Linked DNA regions of Arabidopsis thaliana. The protein of the gene in region 3 interacts with the protein of the main gene of each other region in a pairwise test. Each region holds a gene or a part of one and is shown on either strand. Other genes may lie near its edges.

Region 1 (3,685 bases), on a different chromosome or scaffold from region 3:
ATTACAAAAGTTAAGGTTACATTTAAAATGTACTTCCTAAATAATATAGTAGGATACCTAAAGTTATCATAATGAAAATAAACTAATAGAAAAAATTGAATCTAAATCCTATAATCATCACTAATTAAATCCACCCCATCCCATATCATGATTATTAAAAATTTCATATATATAAAATAAAACCATAACTTAAATGTAATAAAATATCCTAGATTAAATAAGAAAAGAATCCAATTTTATTTACAAAGTAAAAAACTCATCATATTTCTCTCTCTATATATACAGATATATATATATATATATTAATAAGGGTTTTGAGTAATATTGTGTTCCATTAGCAAATATTAGAAAAATAAACAATACAAAAACCAAAAATGGCTTCATCAAGCAAATGCGCCTTCCTTGTGTTCTTATGCATGATTGTTCTTCTCGCCCCAAGTATGCCAAAAAAACGTTTATATTTTTTTTCTGTTTAATTCAATTTATTCATATATACTGAAGTATAACCAAAGTAGCAAGATTCATGAGTTAACACTCAACACTAACTAGCAAACCGAATACTTATTTTATATCAGACATTAGATCATATCTCCATACATATTGTATACACTATTATTTTCACAATACATTGTGATTCACAATACATTGTGATATTAACTTGTTATCACAAAAAATAAAATAAAATACATAGTGATATTGCGTTGTTACCAGCTGCAAGAGATTCTTGTCGAGTGAATTTTCTTTTTCTTTTGCCTTTATGTCTAAACGAGTAACGACTTTTTTTCTAATATTACAACAATCTTTGGAAAACGATAGGTGAAGTACACGCAAAATCTATGGCCAAAGCTCAAGGAGGGTGGTACCTTGTGGAAGGTCTATGCTCAAAATTTCCGGACTGCAATAAGCACTGCAAAGAACAAGGTTTCTTAGGTGGACAATGCCTCAAACTTGGTGTTAATATGCTGTGTTTTTGTATTCATACATGATCTCGTTTATAATATATCCTAAATATTTCATGAGTGTTACAATACTAAGTAAAAAAATGTAGCAGTGACATTTGTGCTTATTATTTTTAACTCTGTTTCATGTTAAGCAACTACGAGTGATTTGCCTCATTTAGGCATTTCAACAAACATGTTATGTGCAGCTACCAAAAAGCTCACATCAATGGCGAAATCAGCTAATGGGAAACCAAATGTGATTCAAATTACAACAATTTCTCAACAATTCCAGACGCAAACTATACTAAACAACACAAAAGACCAATCAAATTCCAGAAAAGATAACAACTTCTTTTTTTTTTTTTATAAAAACCTTAAGCAATGGAGACTTTAGCACCAGCTTCTTCAAGAGTCTTCTTAGCTTCTTCAGCTTCATCTTTAGTGATACCTTCTTTAAACTTCTTTGGTAATCCTTCGATTAGCTCCTTAGCTTCCTTCAACGCCAAGCTAGTCAAAGCCCTAACAGCTTTAATTACTGCAATACGAGAACTACTCGGAACTTCATTGATAACCACATCGAACTCTGTTTGCTCCTCCACTACAGCCGCCGCGCCACCGTCGGCTGGAGCAGCAACCGCCGCTGCTGCGGGGGCTAAAGAGAGTGGGGAGACACCGAATTTGTCTTGGAGATAGTCGACGAGGATACGAGCTTCTTCGAGGGTTAGGGATGAGATTTCGGATCCGATCTTCTCGATTTTCTCCGGAGCTTCGACGGCGGCGATTGGACGGAGATGGGTTGCACGGTGGGTCAATGTGGATGATGAACCACCACCGAAGCGAGAGGGGAATTCGATGGTGGTGGTTCGGGAAGGGAAGTGATTGATGGAAGCGAGAGTAGGATAAGATGAGGAACGGATTGTTGTTGCGATTGAGAGAGTCGTCGACGCCATTTTTGTTTCACTCTTTGGCTTTTCTTCTGAGTTTTTCTTCTCTCTGTGTGTTTTGATTGGATTGTGTGTGAGGAAGATGAAAGATGAGAGGATAGAAAAATGATGGATAAGGGGTATTTTGGGGAATAGAATATTGCGTACGTTTGCTATCATGCGCATATACAAATAGATGAGGTTGTATCGTTTGTATGTTTACGAAAATACCCGTGAGGCCTGACGTTGAGGAGTTAAAAAAATAAAAAGGGGCGTTCCGAGAATCGAACTCGGGACCTCTCGCACCCAAAGCGAGAATCATACCACTAGACCAAACGCCCTTGTTGTTCTAATCACATTTAGTTTGTTTATTAATTATGATTTCTGTCATAACAATTAAATAAGTGTGCAAAATTATTTGTTAGCTAGCTCCTCATTGCTATTTTTCTAATTTTATGGGTATTGCCGTATTGCCGAATTAACTCTACCAATAATCACAAGATTATGAACACTAACAAGTAACAAAGGGCTTCAAAGACGTTGAATCAAAGTTTGTAGTGGAAACGTTTATGCATTTTAAAAGAAGCATATAATAATCGTATACCAATGTAATCACATTGAGTAGTTTGGACTCTCCCTTCTATATTTCTCCCACCAATGCTACAAACAACAGCAAGTTCCATTTCCAATGAATCCAACACTTGAAGAGTTTTTTTTTTCCTCACCATCTACGGCGTCTCCTCCCATACCAAAACGCGAACGCAGCCACAGATGCAGCCACAACGACTCCAGTAGCTGCGTGCCATACATACAAAGGCTTCTTTATCATGACCACACTTGCAGATTGCTTCACCATCTCAGCGCTCGGAATATCCTTAACTTCAGGAACTTTCTGCTGACTCACAACCGTGTGAGCAAACCCGAGTCCTTCTCTTTCCAATTCTTCCAAATCAATAGTCACAGCTGGTTTCAATTGTGTCGCCTTTGAGATAGTTTCATATTCTTCTTTAGTGCCTCCTTCAAGAAAAGATCCAACAAGGTGACCCTTTTTAACCCAATACGCTCCAAATGATTTCCCGTCTTCATACTCTCCAAAGTGCACAACATCACCTGTAGGGTCTCCATAGAATTGCCATGAGAATGCGAAGACCCTTGAGTAGAAAAATGGTAAGTAATCAAAGTCTCCGGTCTTTATTGGATCCATGATGGCTGAAACTGCGTGTCGCGCAGATTTCCTAGCTGAGTCCACGTGCTCAAGCCTCCTCATTTCGCCAAATAGTTTCACTGGAAATGTAGCTACATCGCCTATTGCATACACTGAGCTGTCACTTGACTGCATTCTGCTGTTCACTTTTATCCCTCCTTTCTCTATTGTTAACTGTCCTTCAAACAAGCTTGTGTTTGGTCGTATCCCGATACCAACCACAACCAAGTCGGCTGGTAAGTGGCTCCCGTCTTTGAGATTAACTGCAGTAACCTGTAAATCGAAAACCAAAAAACCTCATATCAATAAACAAATACATTGAACAAGGCTCAAGATTTCATAGTTTGAGTACTGGACCAGAAGTATCTGTGGTTCTACTGATTCTTGCCATCCTTAGTTGTATACATAGATGCAACGTACCAGACATTTTTCGAGTTGAATCTCAAGCTAAAAGAAACGATCTTACCTTTTTGTTCGAGTCAAACTCAAATGATGTCAAAACCGTTCCTTTTATAAATTTTACGCCTTTAGCCCTGTAGTAGTCTTCATACAAACTTGCAATCTTGGGCGTAAAGAGACGTGCCACTGTCATAAGAAACTAAAAAGGTCAAGCTAAA
Region 2 (5,820 bases), on a different chromosome or scaffold from region 3:
CCAAATATAAAATGGTGTAGTTTACAAACTGATTAGTTCGTATTTTCTTACATGTTACATCCATTTACAACCAACAAGTTAATCTTCTAAATTTTTTTTTTAATGTGTGTGCAACTACAAAGGTAAACCTGAGATATGCGTAAGACCCTCCCCACCATGTGGAGATTCTCCAAAGGGAGGAGGTGAAGATACGCCGGGACATAACTATAAAAAGCCTTGCAAACCCATTCCAAGACCACCTCCTCCTCGAGATTGCTAGCAGCTTTGAATTTTCAACACAAGTCCTTAATGTTTTTTTAGTAACAATATCATCGAGACTAATTTATTTGCACGATGTGCAATAATATCGTTTAATTATACCTTTTTTCTTTCTTTCTTTCGAAATTTATGTGTAATTTGTGGTAAAAATAATAATTTGTGCACCCGTATGTTTGATTTAAATAACCAAAACCATTTACAATGTCTCATCATAGGATATATTTGTCTTAGATGTTGTTTTTCTATCCATTTATCCAAAGGCAAAATCTGGAAACAGAGTGACAGAGACTAAGATTTATCATCTGTCAAGTAACATTATTTTTGTAATATAGTAAAATAATTTCTAACAACCTATTATAGAATATCACCATAGAGGCAATTTACATAGCCGCACCAAACATTCTTTCTCCTTACATTCAACAATATCATGTAGAGTGATCAAAGTGGGTCTAGAGGCGAGGATAGCGAGAGCGCCCTTTCTTCTTTAAGAACTCTGGGATCTCTATGGAGCTGCCTTCAGTGAATGATGATGAAGGACGTCTTGTGGCTCCCATTGATGCATCCGCTTGTGTCGCCTGTATTTTCATGTAGCAATAAGAGAGATTACAACCGAAGACTTTTAACATTTGATGTAAGAATCGGCTATGTTGTGTGTGTGTGTCAAGGGAGACAAGTGAATACCTGAAGTGGCCTCCCTTCTCCTTCTTCTTGGCGTTTGAAGCCAGTTGCTATCAGGGTAATACTTATCTGACAGGAAGAAAAAAAGTTTAAGCAATTTGGGTATCTCATAGGTTATATGTTAGAAGAAAATCCAAGAAAGAAGAATACTTACTTGACCACTATAAGATGGATCTACCACAGCACCAAATATAAGATTCGCTGTTGGATCAACGAGGTCGTAAATCACTTCTGCAGCAGCATTTACCTACAAATCGTTTCCCGAGAGTCAAAATAGAGACACACAACGTTATATATGACATGGGACTGAAGTTCTTTTATGAATTGTCTAGGGAAGAAACCAAGTGATTTCTAGGACAGGAAATGGTCTGAAAGCGTAGAGAGGGAAAAAAAACCTCGAACAGTGTTAAGTCACTTCCACCGGTTATGTTCCAAACTATTCCAGTGGCTCTCTCAATGCCAATATCTAATAAAGGGGATTGGATTGCGTTTAATGCAGCATCTCTTGCTCGGGTCTTTCCTGCTCAAATAACAGTATAGCTTGAAAGATTAAGCATGATGATGCAGCCAAAACATAGCACCAAAATAGTTCAAGTTTAGGATTTTCCTCAATATACCAACTTGCAGTGGACCAAACATTATTCCTTTGTCATGGTTAAAGAGTACTAAATCTATAGTCAAATTAATCTACTCAGCTACATCTGTAGTACCAATTCTCAGTAAATTGAAAACTTAGCATTTTAGCTAACAAACATATGCATAAAGCGTCGCCTATATTGGTCACAGGGTTCTTTAACCTGCCTTCTAAACCAATATTCCCCTTCGACATACGTAATGATGCAGCAGATAGAGCCTATCAATAAAATAGTTCAATTCCAAAGAACACTCTACTCTTACCTGTTGCAGTTCCTATTCCCATCAATGAAGAACCTGCATTTGCCATTATCGCCCTCACATCAGCAAAATCCACATTGACCAATCCAGGAATCTGCAATGCAAACACAACGATATTGCAGTCAGACATTTTCTATAAACATGGATGTCATAGCTTAGAGAATAAATACTTTCAAAGCCATACCGTAATAATATCAGATATTCCACGGACACCTTGACGAAGTATATCATCTGCCAGATTAAATGCTTCTGTAACTGGAGTAGACTGAGAGACTGCTGCTAGTAACTTGTCGTTTGGAATAACAATGAGGGTGTCAACATTATCTCTGAGGGCTGCAATCCCTTCCTGAGCCTGGAGTGCTCTTCTCCGTCCCTCAAATGAGAAAGGCGTTGTCACAATACCAACCGTTAATATACCCATCGCTTTTGCAACCCCTGCAATTATAGGAGCACCACCTGTGCCAGTTCCACCACCCATTCCAGCCTAGAAAAATAACAAGACATTTGGCTAGAAAAGCTTAGGCACTGAACTTAAAGATCTAATCTTACAGTCAATCTATGGAGGCAGCAAATTCACACAATAACCCATAACTGGTTGTACTTTAAACAGGAAAGTATTCTATGATCGAAGACATAAACCTCACTGCTTTAACCAGATGGAGATAAAAGAGAAACTGGTAAACACAAAGAGAAACTGCAACCCACCAAAATTCAATAAAACCAACATGATATTGCAAACGGCGATTCTGACCCGTAAAACTTCTCATTTGTAATCTATATCTTTATATAGAAATAAGTATAAATAAAAGTTTGTTACTAAGAAAAAGTGAAAGTAATAGTTATAGACATACTGTGACAAAGACCATATCTGAACCATAAAGTGCTTCTTGAATAGCTTCTTTGCTTTCTGTAGCAGCATTCATCCCAATCTCTGGATTACCTCCAGCACCTAAACCCCTAGTCAACTCCTTACCAATTTGTAACCTATTGTCTGGAAAAACCGGAGATATTCTCATTGCTTGGATATCGGTATTCACAATCCAAAACTCCACACCAATCATCTCACTCTCAATCATACGATTCACAGCGTTTGAACCACCACCTCCAACGCCGATAACTTTAATCCTAGCCTCATTGTAAGTGTTTGGAGTAGATAACTCATCCAAATCCTCAGTAATGGGAACACTGGAAGTTTCTTTTCTTGGGTTGAGCATGGATATCTCAGGGTGGAGATTCAAGAAAGAGTCTTGGCTTTGGAAATGGCTTGTACTATGAGAATTCAAAGAGTTTCTGATTGACGAAGACTCGTACTTATGAGAAGCAACAACACGATATCTTTTAGTAGTACCTTCACTCATTCTTAAGCAACCAACCCTCGTGCCTAGATGATGATCAGGTAACACACTCTTTCTAAGAACAGTGAGTACCCGAGAATCCGGAGGAGTTAAACAGGGAGAAACATAAGCTGCCATTCTGAGACTACAGAAGCAACCAAAGATCTATTAAAAACTCCAATTTCACTGCTTCAAGAGAAAGAACAAGAGGTCAACGTCAAGTCCTGAACCAAGAAGAAGATTAAAAAAAAAAAAAAGTGGCACTCACATTCTACAGTACTATAATTGGAAACCAGTTGCATATCAGCAGCATATGGATCAAGTTCAACACTAGAAGCTAAGATACTACAAAGAAAAGTCAATGCTTTAATTAATAAATTTCCGAGGAGTATCAATTTGAATCAGAAAACTACAATTGGCACATCGTACTGTTCTAAAGTAACGAAATTGAAGATGGGGAATTCCAGAAATTTGTAAAACAGTAGACGAATACAAAAAGCTAAGACATTTCGACGATTGAGTACAGAATTTCCAGAGGGAGCAGTTTTAGAGATTGTAGCAGAAGTACATTAACATGTAAAAGACGAAGAGTACCTTACGAGTAGTGGCAGCAGAGAATTCGAGCTACAAAGAAAAAAAAATGGGAACCAATGAAAATGGAAGGTTTTGGTGTTTTCTGGGCTTAGAATCTCTTTCTCGATCACATAAAAGTGGATTATGATTTTGATTTTGCTCCTAATTTTTATCTGTTTCAGTAACAACTACAGCTACTAAATTCATCTGTTAAATAAGTTGGTGAAAGAGACAAAGCGTTAGCCGACGAGAGTGATGAAGAAAATTAAATGTTTAATATAAATGGGCCTATAATGTTGGTCTTAAAGCCCATACAACGAATTCTGGGCTTTAGCCGGATAATAAGCATACGAAAAATTTGCACAATTTTATGAGTCTTTTGCTTGCTCATGTAGAACAGTGAAGTCCATGGAACCATGAATGATGATGAACGTAAACAAGCCACAATTCTATAATTCAGATTGTTTGTTTGCGTTTAGATTTGTTTCGAACGCATCAATTGTGATTGAGACAATCGAAGTATGATAGTTTCGCTATCTTATGCAATGCCATTGCCAGGCCAAAGCTCGTCATGTGTATCTTCTGATCAACTACTTTCTCGCTTATAGAACAATTTCAAGCTAAACCATTCACACTTCTCCCCAGTCACTTATTTATCATTGGTAGTTGAAGCAACCTAAGATCTTTAATCAAAACATCTTAGTGACTCGCTTCTACGTTCGGAAAATCTACACTACAACTGCAACACATGTACGCTAAAAATGAGCAATTGATACTCTCACCAAATCTAATTCAAAGAACAGTTCATGTCAAGAAACTGTCAAACAGAACCACAAAAGGATGTATATGGCATAAACGTTTCGAGATTTCCAATAGTAAGAGATCTTAGAACATCATCTTCAATTACTTAAACCACATCAATAACAACTTCCTCTAAAGTTATCAAAAACCTTTACAATGTCTCAGCTATTTCACCACAAACACTTATAAGATATCACATTAAGCTACTCAGTAATGGCACCGGAAAGTTCAACAATCTATCAATATTCGAAAGCAAGGAATCAAAAGATAACGAGAAGCGAAAACAGAGTATAGATTAAGAAACAGGCGTACGAAATCAATCCACGGTGCTCTTCTCCTCCATCAGCAAGAGACACCACCAGATTAGAACAAGCTCTAGTAGCCCACAACACGAAAGCCGCACCGAGCACAAACCGAACGGGACCAGCACCTTGTGGCACAAACAAGGACACCGCGGACAAAATCACAACGGGAAGCAGAGAGTAACCAACTAAACTCGTACAAGTATGAAGATTAAGATTCCCATTTCTACCAGCAAGCATATTGAAGACAATGTACAAGAAGATAGAAGAAACAACAACCCAACCAAGTATAACACCAAACTGTATCTTCCCAGCGAGCAATTGAAATAAGCAAAGCGCAAGGTATAAGAAGATCGGACCAGAGAGATCTGAATCTTTGTGAACAGTCTGATTGATTCGAAAAGGATTGAGAATCGATCTAGTTTTCTTCCAGATTTGATCTGGATGGATACCGAGTTCGTCGAGTAAAGGCTCCTCATCCTCAAACGAAGCAGAGACTCCTCTACCGAAAGATGCAGATGAAGCGATTGTTCCGTCGAATGGTCCCGCCGGCATTGAAACGGCGGCGGATCCGATTTCAAATGGAATGAAAGGGATTGAAGATGAAGCGGAGGATTGACGTGGTGGTTGGTAAGGAGCTGTGGGAACTCGGCGTTGCTGAACATTTGCGGTGGCCGGAGATGATCCACTGGTGGGGAAAACAACCGGTGGAATTGGAAAATCCTTCGTCATCCTCTAGAATCCCTAATTCAGATCTCGAATTTGAAGTTAGTGTTTTCTCTCAATCGGATTTGATTTCAGAAATTGAAAATAATTCCAGTAACAGGCGACTACTACGCATTCTTCGTGTTCGTATCTTCGTGATATGTGATAAGGGCATTTTCGGTAAGTGAATTAATAATGTTTTGGGCCGTATAAGGCTTTATCAGCCCATTAGTTTGTAGTTTTGAACAGCCTTTGCTACACAAACAAGTCAATAG
Region 3 (5,287 bases):
AATTAAAATATGGTTTTATAAGACACTATTTTATCTTCTTTTTTTTTTTTTTTTTTTTTTTTTTTTTTTTTTGCCAAACCCCTATTTTATCTTTTTATCTTTTGAAATTTTTTATGATGTATCTATGAAAATGATTTGTGACTAATGCACCGAGGCTTCATATGATTTCATTAATCACATCCCATATAAAATCACGGGTTATGTTCATAATTTGTTTATTCAATATTAGACTACTATGTGAACTTTTAGTGAATTCACTTTTTTTTTTATCCAATCAAACCTCTGGTTTCAGAATTTAGTTTCCAGTTTTAAACTTTTTTCTTGAGACGTAAAAGCTCTCATGCTTTGTTGATGATGTAGTGGTGGAGAATCGTGATCTTCAACACTTTCATGTAAAAAGGCTTCATCATCGTTAATGGCATCTTGGGTTTACTCTTGGCTGAATATAAAAAAGAAATAATAGGATTGATATAGACTCTATATATTAAGAAATAAAGTAAGACAGTCCACGGCAACGCATGTGATTATAGGAACCACTATCATGCAACGACGTGGATCAGTGGGAACCGTTGCTTTCGAAAGCATAAGAGAGACATCAATTAATTACAAAGAAATTGTGTAAACACATTTATATATATCAGTGACATTTGAGATTGGTTTTGACAAAGATATACAACTTCTCTCCCGACATAAATGTCTACAAGAATACGCAAGTTAATCATATTTGGAGCTCTTTCATCTATAGTTGTAGACAATTTGTACACTCTATTAGGGAGTTCTAGACTTTTGATGAATAGAAACATTTTCAGAATTTGCTTTATTTTTTTAATATAGGAATGTGAATATTATTTTAAATGATTCGTTTCAAACTTTGGATATATAGTCATGTATTCTTATAACTAGAAACTTCGGGTATTTGGGTAAAATTTTCGATTATTTGGATACAAATTCGGGTATTGGGTAAAATTTCGGGTATTTGGATATAAACCGATCTGAAACCGATTGGATCCGAACCGAATCCGAACCGAGATTTTCTATTTACCCTATTGGGTCCTAGAATAGCATATCCGACATATCCGTATTCGACCGATTATTACCCAAACCCGACCAGCATACCTGAATACCAAGCCGTAATTTAGATATGCAATTTATAAAGGCTAAAAAATCGTGAAAAACCATTGTGATATATTATAAATTATTTTTTGGGAGCCCTAAAAACATTACATATTTTGGAAGCTCGAGACAAAAGCCTTTCTTTTTTTTAACCCTTTAGGCACGGTTATATGAATCATATGACATGTAATATAGCAGTTTGTAATAGTACCGTCATATTGTTTAACCTTCAAATTCAAATATGCATGATTTATGTTCTTGACAAAAATATGTATATTTATGCAAAATTAAATATTCATCTATAACGATCATATTATCTATACTGTTAATTTTAAAAGGATCATATCATCTATACTGTTAATTTTTAAGTGATTTTTTTTTATAATTTGGATCCCATTTTATTTGCTCTTAAAAACTTTGGATATACTTGATAGCTTTTTAACAAACAAAAATAAAATAAAAAGTACTTCGAGCCCACGTAAAATCGAATAAACAAAAATTTAATTTGTTGAACAAGTTGGTGTTTTGAACTAAGGCCCAATAATAGTAAGAATACTAAAATGGGCTTAAGCCGGGTCGTCGGATCGGGTTTAAGAAAAAACAGGGTCGAGGTTTCAAGAGAAACCCTTGTTACTCAGGCGACTAAAACCCCAAATCTCATTTGTGTGTTCGCCTTTCTCTCGTACAAGTCAAAATGGCGTCCGTTGTTCTTCGAAACCCTAGCTCGAAGCGCCTTGTTCCATTCTCTTCCCAGATCTACTCTCGCTGTGGTGCTTCCGTTACTTCCTCTTACTCGATCTCTCATTCTATCGGTGGAGATGATCTCTCTTCCTCTACCTTCGGAACCTCCTCCTTCTGGAGATCCATGGCCACTTTTACTCGAAAGTTAGTTTTCTTTCCATTTTTTGCTTCTTTTTCCCTCTTCAGATCGGAAAGTTGGAAAACTGGTTGGTGATTCTGATTGTGATTGCTCTGCTTATGTAATTGCTCTTGTGGCAGTAAACCTCATGTAAATGTTGGAACTATTGGGCATGTTGATCATGGCAAGACCACTTTAACTGCTGCAATCACAAAGGTACTTCTTTTGTGTATATTGGTTACATGAAACTTATTGTCAAAGAATCTGTTTTTTTTTTAAGTTGATATTGTGATCTTACTTATGTTGCAGGTTCTTGCTGAGGAGGGCAAAGCTAAAGCTATTGCCTTTGATGAAATTGATAAAGCTCCTGAAGAGAAGAAGAGAGGAATTACTATTGCCACGGTCTGTGTTATCTTTATGTATCATTTTCTCATTTTTCTAATTAGATTTTGTTCGTTTACTTGATGTTACTTGGTTCTGTAGGCTCATGTGGAGTATGAAACTGCAAAGCGTCACTATGCTCATGTGGATTGCCCTGGACACGCAGATTATGTTAAAGTAAGAAACCGATATACTTTTTTACTTTCATATAAGATAGGTGTTAACAATAGTCGGATTCTTGGAACTTAAAGTATGCTGCTCCTTGGTGTATATCATTTTAACGCTGCAAACATTACATGTTACACATTTTCTTGAAACTCTGACTCCAATCTATTTATCAATGATCACGGTTTTGAACTATGATAACTAGAAGGGTTATTCTCTATGCAAGCATCATAATCTAGTATTTGTCAATTGTATAGTGGAGTAACATGCATCAGTATACGGGTTTCCTTTGAAAATACTTTGGTAAACAGTTGAGCCTCACTGCTTCTGTTGCTAACTTTCAGAATATGATTACTGGAGCTGCGCAAATGGATGGCGGAATTCTTGTGGTTTCAGGACCAGATGGACCCATGCCGCAGACAAAGGAACATATTCTACTTGCACGCCAGGTTTGGATTATTAAACCATGAACACTTGAAGCTACTCAGTGGAGCTAGGTTCTTTGCCACAATTTGAAAATTATGCAATGTTCCACAGGTTGGTGTTCCCTCACTTGTGTGCTTCTTGAACAAAGTTGATGTGGTGGATGACCCTGAGCTCTTGGAGCTTGTCGAGATGGAACTACGTGGTTTGTAGATTTTTAATGTCACAGAACTTCTTCTTTCAGCATATGAAGTATGTATACGCTTGCTCACATCAACTCTTGTCTCTATACAGAGCTCCTCAGCTTCTACAAGTTTCCTGGGGATGATATTCCCATCATCCGAGGATCTGCTCTGTCCGCATTACAGGGCACCAATGATGAAATTGGAAGGCAAGCTATATTAAAGCTGATGGATGCTGTTGATGAATATATACCTGACCCTGTTCGCGTCCTTGACAAGCCTTTCTTGATGCCAATTGAAGATGTTTTCTCAATTCAAGTACACTTAGTCTACATCCTTGTTGTTTTCTGATTCACTCTTTAAAAAAAAAAAAACAGTTCTGATACATTTCTTTTTCTTAAAGGGACGTGGAACTGTTGCAACCGGTCGTATCGAACAGGGAGTCATTAAAGTGGGTGAAGAAGTTGAGATATTGGGTTTACGTGAGGTGAGAGTGCATAAATATTGTGTTTGTACTGCCAAACTGGTGTTTTCTGGGGGGCTATTACAATTAAGCATTTTCTTTAGCATAACTGCAAGATTTGATTTTCAGGGGGGTGTTCCACTGAAATCGACTGTAACTGGGGTTGAGATGTTCAAGAAGATTTTGGATAATGGACAGGTAAAGCCAATATCAAAAGATTACAAAGACAAGTTCTGGGCATGTAAGATACTGATCAAACCTTGGCTTCTATTATGCTAGGCTGGTGATAATGTAGGACTTCTTCTGCGTGGGCTAAAGAGAGAAGACATTCAGCGTGGAATGGTAAGCTTAGGCATCCTTACGACGAAAACCAACTTTACTGAAAACCAACTGAACTAAAGTTTAATCCTCTGCTTTTACGTATTAGGTGATTGCTAAGCCTGGTTCATGCAAGACATACAAGAAGTTTGAAGCAGAGATTTACGTGCTCACAAAGGATGAAGGTGGACGTCACACTGCATTTTTCTCTAACTACAGGCCTCAGTTTTACTTGAGGACTGCAGATATCACTGGCAAAGTGGAATTACCCGAAAACGTGAAGATGGTTATGCCTGGTGACAATGTCACAGCTGTTTTCGAGTTAATCATGCCTGTCCCACTCGAAACAGGTAAAACAATCTTACAGAAACTCTCTTTTGGTACTTGAAGTTGGATTTCTGATTCTTTTCCTTCACGTCTCGTCTTCTGGAAACAGGTCAAAGATTTGCCTTAAGGGAAGGAGGTAGAACAGTTGGAGCTGGTGTTGTATCAAAAGTGATGACCTAAACTACTCAAAAGCACATTCTTCTCCTTCGTTCTCTAGGAATCCATCAATTTCGAGATTTTTCTTTTTGTCTTTTTGCTGCTTTGAGATTTCTTTGGGTAGATCAAATAAACAGAGAGAAACTTAATTTATGTTTCCAATGAGAAAGATTAGGGCAGAGGGCACGAAACGTCTATTTCTTTTTGATGCTTCCTACTTTGTGAAACTTTCAAAAAGCCACTTCCAATTCTTTCTCACCTTCGTGGTTTGTCAAGTATTTGTTTTTATTTCTTTAAACCAAAATCATGAATTTTCGATTATTAAATTAAGTTGACCAGAAATGAAATATTTATTTCATGTTTAGCAAATCTTTTGCTCAAGTATGCTTCCTCTTATGATGCTATGCTAGATTGTAGTGCTCACTCTTGTGGTGAGAGACAAGCTTGTATGTAACATTAGATTTTGTACTGATACTACTTTTTTAGGTTCCACACTCCCAATTTAGATTTAGGAACTAGTTATATTGTTGAAAAGAAAATAAATGTCGTCGTTCCCTCTAGTTATTATTTATGTTTGTGTTACAACTTCCATTACAAGAAGGGGTCAAACAACGCAAATAGGACGAGCATAGTAGACGAAATATGCAAACTACTGATTTACCAGTACAAGCAGGGTCGTCAACGCGAGGCTCTGATTTCATTCTCTTCACACAATTAAAGTTTCATGGCCCTTACTTTACCATATGTTCAAACCGAAGAACATCATTGTTGTGTGACTTGATCGAAAAGCTACTGAAGAAATTATGACTGTTTTTTTAGGTTGTAATTCGCCACAGGTTGGTATTCCATCACTTGTGTGCTTCTTGAACAAAATTGATATGGTGGAGGATGAAGAAATGT
Region 4 (5,446 bases), on a different chromosome or scaffold from region 3:
CTTCCCGATAGTGTGACATTTAACTTGCTTCTTCGGGATCTCTGCAGTTCTGATCATTCTACTGATGCAAACAGATTGAGACTTTTGGCATCAAGCAAAGGATATGAACCCGATGAGACAACGTACCATGTTTTGGTTTCGGGGTTCACGAAAGAAGGGAGAAGAAAGGAAGGAGAAGTTCTAGTGAACGAGATGTTGGATAAAGATATGTTGCCTGATATCTTTACATATAATAGATTGATGGATGGCTTGTCCTGCACTGGAAAATTCTCAAGGAAACAAGTCCGGATGTTGTAACCTGTGTTTGATCTGTGTAAACTAGACCCAAGCTATATCTATGTATCAACAAATTTTATTTTGAACATATGAAATGGAAACCAAGTTGGTTCTTTGTTTGGTTGCTGCACATTGCCACAGAATCATGCGTCGGAGATGAACTTTTTTTATTCGAAAGTCACAGTTGTTTGCTGGTATATCGCTATTGATTTTTTTATTAACTGAATGAAAAATGACAATAATTTCTGCTAAAACTCTCATAATCTTATAAGTATGTTTATGGTTCGAGAAGTGTGATTCTTCTTCTCCTTTTTTGTTTTGGAAGTGACATAGAGAGAAACTCCGATTTCTAAAACAACCTATTCAAGAACACGACCAGAGGCAGTGACAGAACATATACACACCCACACAGATTCTTGATCATACATCAACACATCTTGCTGTATCCCAGAAGGCAGTACCAGACTACCAGTACACACACGTTTGTTATTGCTGCAGTGTGCAGGGTAGTGATTAGATTGGGCTTTAGACTCGGGGATAACGAGAGCTGCCTTTCTTCTTCAAGAACTCTGGGATCTCCACTGAACCGCTTTCTCTAAAGGAAGAAGAGGGTCTTCTTGTAGCTCCAACTGACGCAGCATCTGCTTGTACCATCTGAACTGTTCGTCCTTCTCCCTCTTCTTGTCGTTTGAAACCCGTAGCTATCAGGGTTATGCTTACCTTTTACCAAAAAAAACATCAATTCTATCATCTCTAGAGGTCTTATCTATGTTTAGTAGAAGAAACATTATAAAGGACATACTTGACCGCTGAGGGCTGGATCTACAACAGCACCGAATATAAGATTGGCAGTTGGATCGACAAGATCATATATTACTTCTGCAGCAGCATTTACCTACACAAGACCAAAGTGTATGAAAAACTATAGAGCATCTTAGGGGTATGAAGCAAAATCAGGCTTTGCTCTAAGTTGTCTATGGAAGGAAGAAAATAAATGATTTTAACACCCTGTCAATGCGTCTCTCAAGATCCAGTTATTGTTTATGGATCTATCGACATAGAGATAAGAAACAAAGATGAGAGAGAGAGACAAAAACCTCAAACAATGTCAAGTCACTTCCGCCAGTAATGTTCCAAACAATTCCAGTGGCTCTCTCAATCCCAATATCTAACAAAGGAGATTGGATTGCATTTAGCGCAGCATCTCTTGCCCGACTCTTTCCTGAATGATTACAAGTAGCATGAAAGAATCAGCACGTTGCAAACAAAACAAAACCTTGCGCAAAAGAAGTTCAAGGTTCATGACTTTGATTATTACATCATGACATAGATGCACAATAGTTGAGTAACAGTGAATATAATATGGTCATTTTCAGTATCCCAGTCACTAGACTGGTTTCTTTGCCACACCAATCTACTAGCTCATTAGTTCAATTAGACTATTTCGACACATATCTAGTGACTAATGGTTCTGCTTATGAAACTATGCAGCTAAATGAGCTTATCCATCATTCCAAACTTACCTGTCGCAGTTCCTATTCCCATCAATGAAGACCCCGCATTTGCCATTATAGCTCTCACATCAGCAAAATCCACATTCACCAAACCAGGAATCTACAAATCAAGGACAAACGTAGCTGGTAAATCATTTGCCATACACAAAAAAATGATCACAGGATGCCCATAAGAAAAGCTATACCGTAATGATATCAGATATCCCACGAACCCCCTGACGGAGTATATCATCAGCTAGATTAAATGCTTCTGTTACCGGAGTAGACTGAGAGACAGCTGTAAGCAACTTGTCATTTGGAATGACGATGAGAGTGTCAACATTGTCTCTGAGAGATGCAAGCCCTTCTTGAGCCTGAACAGTTCTTCTTCGACCCTCAAACGAGAAAGGCGTAGTGGCAATACCAACTGTCAATATACCCATCGCCTTGGCAATTCCTGCAATTACAGGGGCTGCACCAGTGCCAGTTCCACCGCCCATTCCAGCCTATAAAATGATGAAGAGACATATAAACCTCACTCTTTTGGACAGATGGAGACCAGAACTAGCTGATAAGTGATTGACAAATGACACATACCTCTTTTTCTACAATCAAAGTTTATAACTAAGAAGAACAAATGCAATAGTAATAATAAAGATTTGAGGACATACTGTGACAAAGACCATATCTGAGCCATAAAGAGCTTCTTCAATAACTTCTTTGCTCTCTCTAGCAGCATTCATACCGATTTCTGGATTTCCTCCAGCACCTAAACCCCTAGTCAACTCCTTACCAATTTGTAACCTATTATCAGGCAAAACAGGAGACATTCTCATAGCCTGGATATCAGTGTTGACAATCCAGAACTCCACACCTGACATTTCACTCTCTATCATACGATTCACAGCATTTGATCCACCACCTCCCACACCAATAACCTTAATCCTCGCCTCATTGTAGTTACTCGGAGCAGATGGCTCTTCAAAATCCTCGACAACAGGTCCAGAAGACGTTTCCTTTCTTGGATTGACTATTGTACTAGTCCCTTCACCTCTAAGCATAGATATTTCCGGGTGAAGGTTCAAGAAAGGATCTTGAGCTTGGCTTTGGTAATGCCGTGGAGAGTTTCTGATTGGAGAAGATTCAGATTTCTGAGCGGCAACAACAACTCGGTTTTTCTTACTGTCAATCGTTCTAATGGAGTTCAACCTGCCTAAATGATTCTCCGGTAAAACATTCTTTCTAAGAACAGTTAGTAACCGAGAATCCGAAGGAGTAAAACACGGTGAAACGTAAGTTGCCATAATGAGACCAATCACTGCAGGACTTTACAAAATTCAGAACCAAAAGACTAAATCCAATTCCACTGATTACTTCCCTAACAAGACCTGTTCATAAAAAGCTAAATGGTCAAACCCAAAGCTCTCAATTTAGAGTTATATGATTCAGCCACAAAGTAAAACACGAAATCCACAAAGTAGCCACAAAGCAGTGTGATTTACATTCATAAAGTTAACATAAACAAAACCCAGTCGCATCTATGCTCCATTGTTAACCAGCAATAGATATCAAATCCTCAGAAATTGAGAATCAGTGGATGGTTTAAGACTTAGAAGAATGAAACAAGTGAGGAACCACAAAACCCAAATTAAACTAAAATGCTTTTTCCCATTACGAATTGAAGAAATTGAAGATGGGTATTGCGAAGTTTGCAGCATTACATGAAAACAAAGTAGAGAAATGGAAGAACACTGAGAAAAGCTTAGATTTTTGGGTAAATACAGTAAGATGGAGGACGAAATCAAAAGGATAAAGCTGGAGGGAAGTGGAGAAGAGAAACCTGAGAGTAGCAGAGGAAACCTGGAAGAAGAGTTGGGAGAGAAAAAGTGTGAATTGAACAAGGAGCTCAAGGTCTGGAGGAAACCCACGAAACGGAGGGTTTTGGTGTTTTCTGACTAGTAAATATCTCAAATTCATTAAACCCCCAATAATTAAAAAATATATAAAAAATGCTTTTGTTCATAAAATTTTTATTTTTATTTTGGTAAAATTTTGTTCCAATTTATCACTGTTATGTTGGTGTTGGTAAGAAAAAAAACTATGGGAAATGATTGTACTTTAAATTTCATTTCATGTACTTTCATTGAATTTTTTGTGTAAATTTGCTAAATGAATTTTATGAAGGAAACAAAAAAAATTACAAGAAAAATGTGGTGGCTACATTACATAGTTGGAACAATAATGTCATCATTTGAATTAACTAAAAACAAAAAGCAACTCTAGTCGTTACGGCAAAAGAGTTTCGAGGTTGTGATATTCCTTTATGTTTCATGGTTTAGGAATATGGTTTTGAACTTTTGATTAGAGTTTTCCTTGTACTTTACTTCTTTTGAGTTTAGGTTAAGAGTTCTATTACTATTAGGAGTTGATTTGGTGTTATAGATAAGACTCATTAGCCTTTGTTCAACAAAAAATAGCACATACATATAGATTAATGACAAGAATGAAGAAAAAGAAGAGGACATATATATAGGAGAGATAATGGAACACCAAAAGCAAACATAATAAACAGATTTAATCTTACATTCATTTATCGCATCAGCTACATTTACGGTGCTGATGCAAATTTATTGAAAGCGATAAAATAAAAACACACAAACATGGAACACACATGTAGATATGTGACATTGATCATAAGCAATGCACACATTATTTAGGTACTGATACACAATTATTCACGTTTCATATTTGGTTTTGCGTCCGGATGAGATACTTAACAAGGTCCGTAGCAGTGACAGTGCGTCTCGTTGTCTTCCACTTCACATGCCCCAAACCAAGTTGTGTTGGTTGCCCTGCAAAGAAGGTCACACAATTTTGAGCCGTCAACTTTAACACACACACCCTCTTGAGCTTCACCTTTAAAGCATGTTTGGGCTACCGCCTTTGGGAGTCCTGTTTTAACCATTCTCACATTAATCTTTTCACATCCATATCGATATTAATATAGGACAAAGGAAGTTAAGAAAATCTTAAAATTACCATTAGAAACCAACAAGATGATCATCAAGAGAGCAGAGAAGTTAACTATGAGCTTTGCCATATTTCTTTGTTGTTGTTTTGTGTTTGCTTCTTCTTCTTTTTTTAATAGAGCAGAGATTGATGAGCTTGTAGCTAACTATTTGAAAGCATAGAATCATTTATAGGGCAAACTCGTTGACTTTTATTTCTTCTATTTGAATCCAAGACATATATAGTTTATTAGTTTTTGTGTAATATGGATTAATGTATATAATGTCGCCATAATTTGAATTGCTAGTTGACAAAACAGAAATGAATTGCACGATCCACCCAATGTCTCGCTAATGATCTCTCTATGTTGCATCCAAATTGTAACAATTTTTTATATAGCAACATATTATAATTTTAATGTCATTATTTTGGCCCAACTAAAATTCAAGGGATGAGGATAAAGTATATAGAACACCAAACCTTGTATCATACGTATGAATACACAGAAATAGTTAAATATAATTATTGAAGTGTTCTTAGTAAAGTGCCTTGACTCAACTTAACATAATGAGCACATATAATGACATTGATATTGTATTGACTCTTTGTTTCATATGATACTATACCAAATAAATTTCTTATTATATAAAATGTTTTCATAACAATTT

The links.
Region 1: the proteins of AT4G02930 (region 3) and RPL12-A interact in a two-hybrid assay, tested with the Arabidopsis thaliana proteins (one study listed by BioGRID).
Region 2: the proteins of AT4G02930 (region 3) and FTSZ2-2 interact in a protein complementation assay, tested with the Arabidopsis thaliana proteins (one study listed by BioGRID).
Region 4: the proteins of AT4G02930 (region 3) and FTSZ2-1 interact in a protein complementation assay, tested with the Arabidopsis thaliana proteins (one study listed by BioGRID).

Annotation. Positions count from the first base shown.
Region 1 is NC_003074.8:10,316,782-10,320,466, reverse strand, and holds RPL12-A (ribosomal protein L12-A), read right to left. Parts: upstream 1,963-3,685; 5' UTR 1,892-1,962; coding exon 1,316-1,891; 3' UTR 1,315-1,315; exon of another isoform or gene 1,035-1,314; intron 987-1,034; coding exon of another isoform or gene 817-986; 3' UTR 547-816; downstream 1-546. Other genes in the region: AT3G27831 (Gamma-thionin family protein), read left to right, coding at 375-438, 817-986; MDAR4 (monodehydroascorbate reductase 4), read right to left, coding at 2,586-3,341, 3,535-3,653.
Region 2 is NC_003074.8:19,549,134-19,554,953, forward strand, and holds FTSZ2-2 (Tubulin/FtsZ family protein), read right to left. Parts: upstream 3,969-5,820; 5' UTR 3,759-3,968; intron 3,740-3,758; exon of another isoform or gene 3,433-3,739; intron 3,351-3,432; 5' UTR 3,303-3,350; coding exon 2,682-3,302; intron 2,315-2,681; coding exon 2,015-2,314; intron 1,925-2,014; coding exon 1,834-1,924; coding exon of another isoform or gene 1,793-1,833; exon of another isoform or gene 1,498-1,792; intron 1,457-1,497; coding exon 1,332-1,456; intron 1,184-1,331; coding exon 1,091-1,183; intron 1,006-1,090; coding exon 940-1,005; intron 834-939; coding exon 708-833; 3' UTR 528-707; downstream 1-527. Other genes in the region: AT3G52760 (Integral membrane Yip1 family protein), read right to left, coding at 4,799-5,572. UniProt on the Arabidopsis thaliana protein: Exhibits GTPase activity. Component of the plastid division machinery that forms a contractile ring at the division site.
Region 3 is NC_003075.7:1,294,875-1,300,161, reverse strand, and holds AT4G02930 (GTP binding Elongation factor Tu family protein), read left to right. Parts: upstream 1-1,661; 5' UTR 1,662-1,807; coding exon 1,808-1,998; intron 1,999-2,112; coding exon 2,113-2,188; intron 2,189-2,281; coding exon 2,282-2,374; intron 2,375-2,455; coding exon 2,456-2,530; intron 2,531-2,862; coding exon 2,863-2,967; intron 2,968-3,055; coding exon 3,056-3,146; intron 3,147-3,235; coding exon 3,236-3,441; intron 3,442-3,526; coding exon 3,527-3,610; intron 3,611-3,715; coding exon 3,716-3,784; intron 3,785-3,865; coding exon 3,866-3,928; intron 3,929-4,013; coding exon 4,014-4,254; intron 4,255-4,340; coding exon 4,341-4,411; 3' UTR 4,412-4,787; downstream 4,788-5,287. UniProt on the Arabidopsis thaliana protein: This protein promotes the GTP-dependent binding of aminoacyl-tRNA to the A-site of ribosomes during protein biosynthesis.
Region 4 is NC_003071.7:15,196,860-15,202,305, forward strand, and holds FTSZ2-1 (Tubulin/FtsZ family protein), read right to left. Parts: upstream 3,745-5,446; 5' UTR 3,610-3,744; exon of another isoform or gene 3,158-3,609; 5' UTR 3,074-3,157; coding exon 2,441-3,073; intron 2,276-2,440; coding exon 1,976-2,275; intron 1,891-1,975; coding exon 1,800-1,890; intron 1,499-1,799; coding exon 1,374-1,498; intron 1,172-1,373; coding exon 1,079-1,171; intron 997-1,078; coding exon 802-996; 3' UTR 510-801; downstream 1-509. Other genes in the region: AT2G36240 (pentatricopeptide (PPR) repeat-containing protein), read left to right, coding at 1-297; AT2G36255 (Defensin-like (DEFL) family protein), read right to left, coding at 4,543-4,721, 4,809-4,869. UniProt on the Arabidopsis thaliana protein: Exhibits GTPase activity which converts GTP ligands to GDP.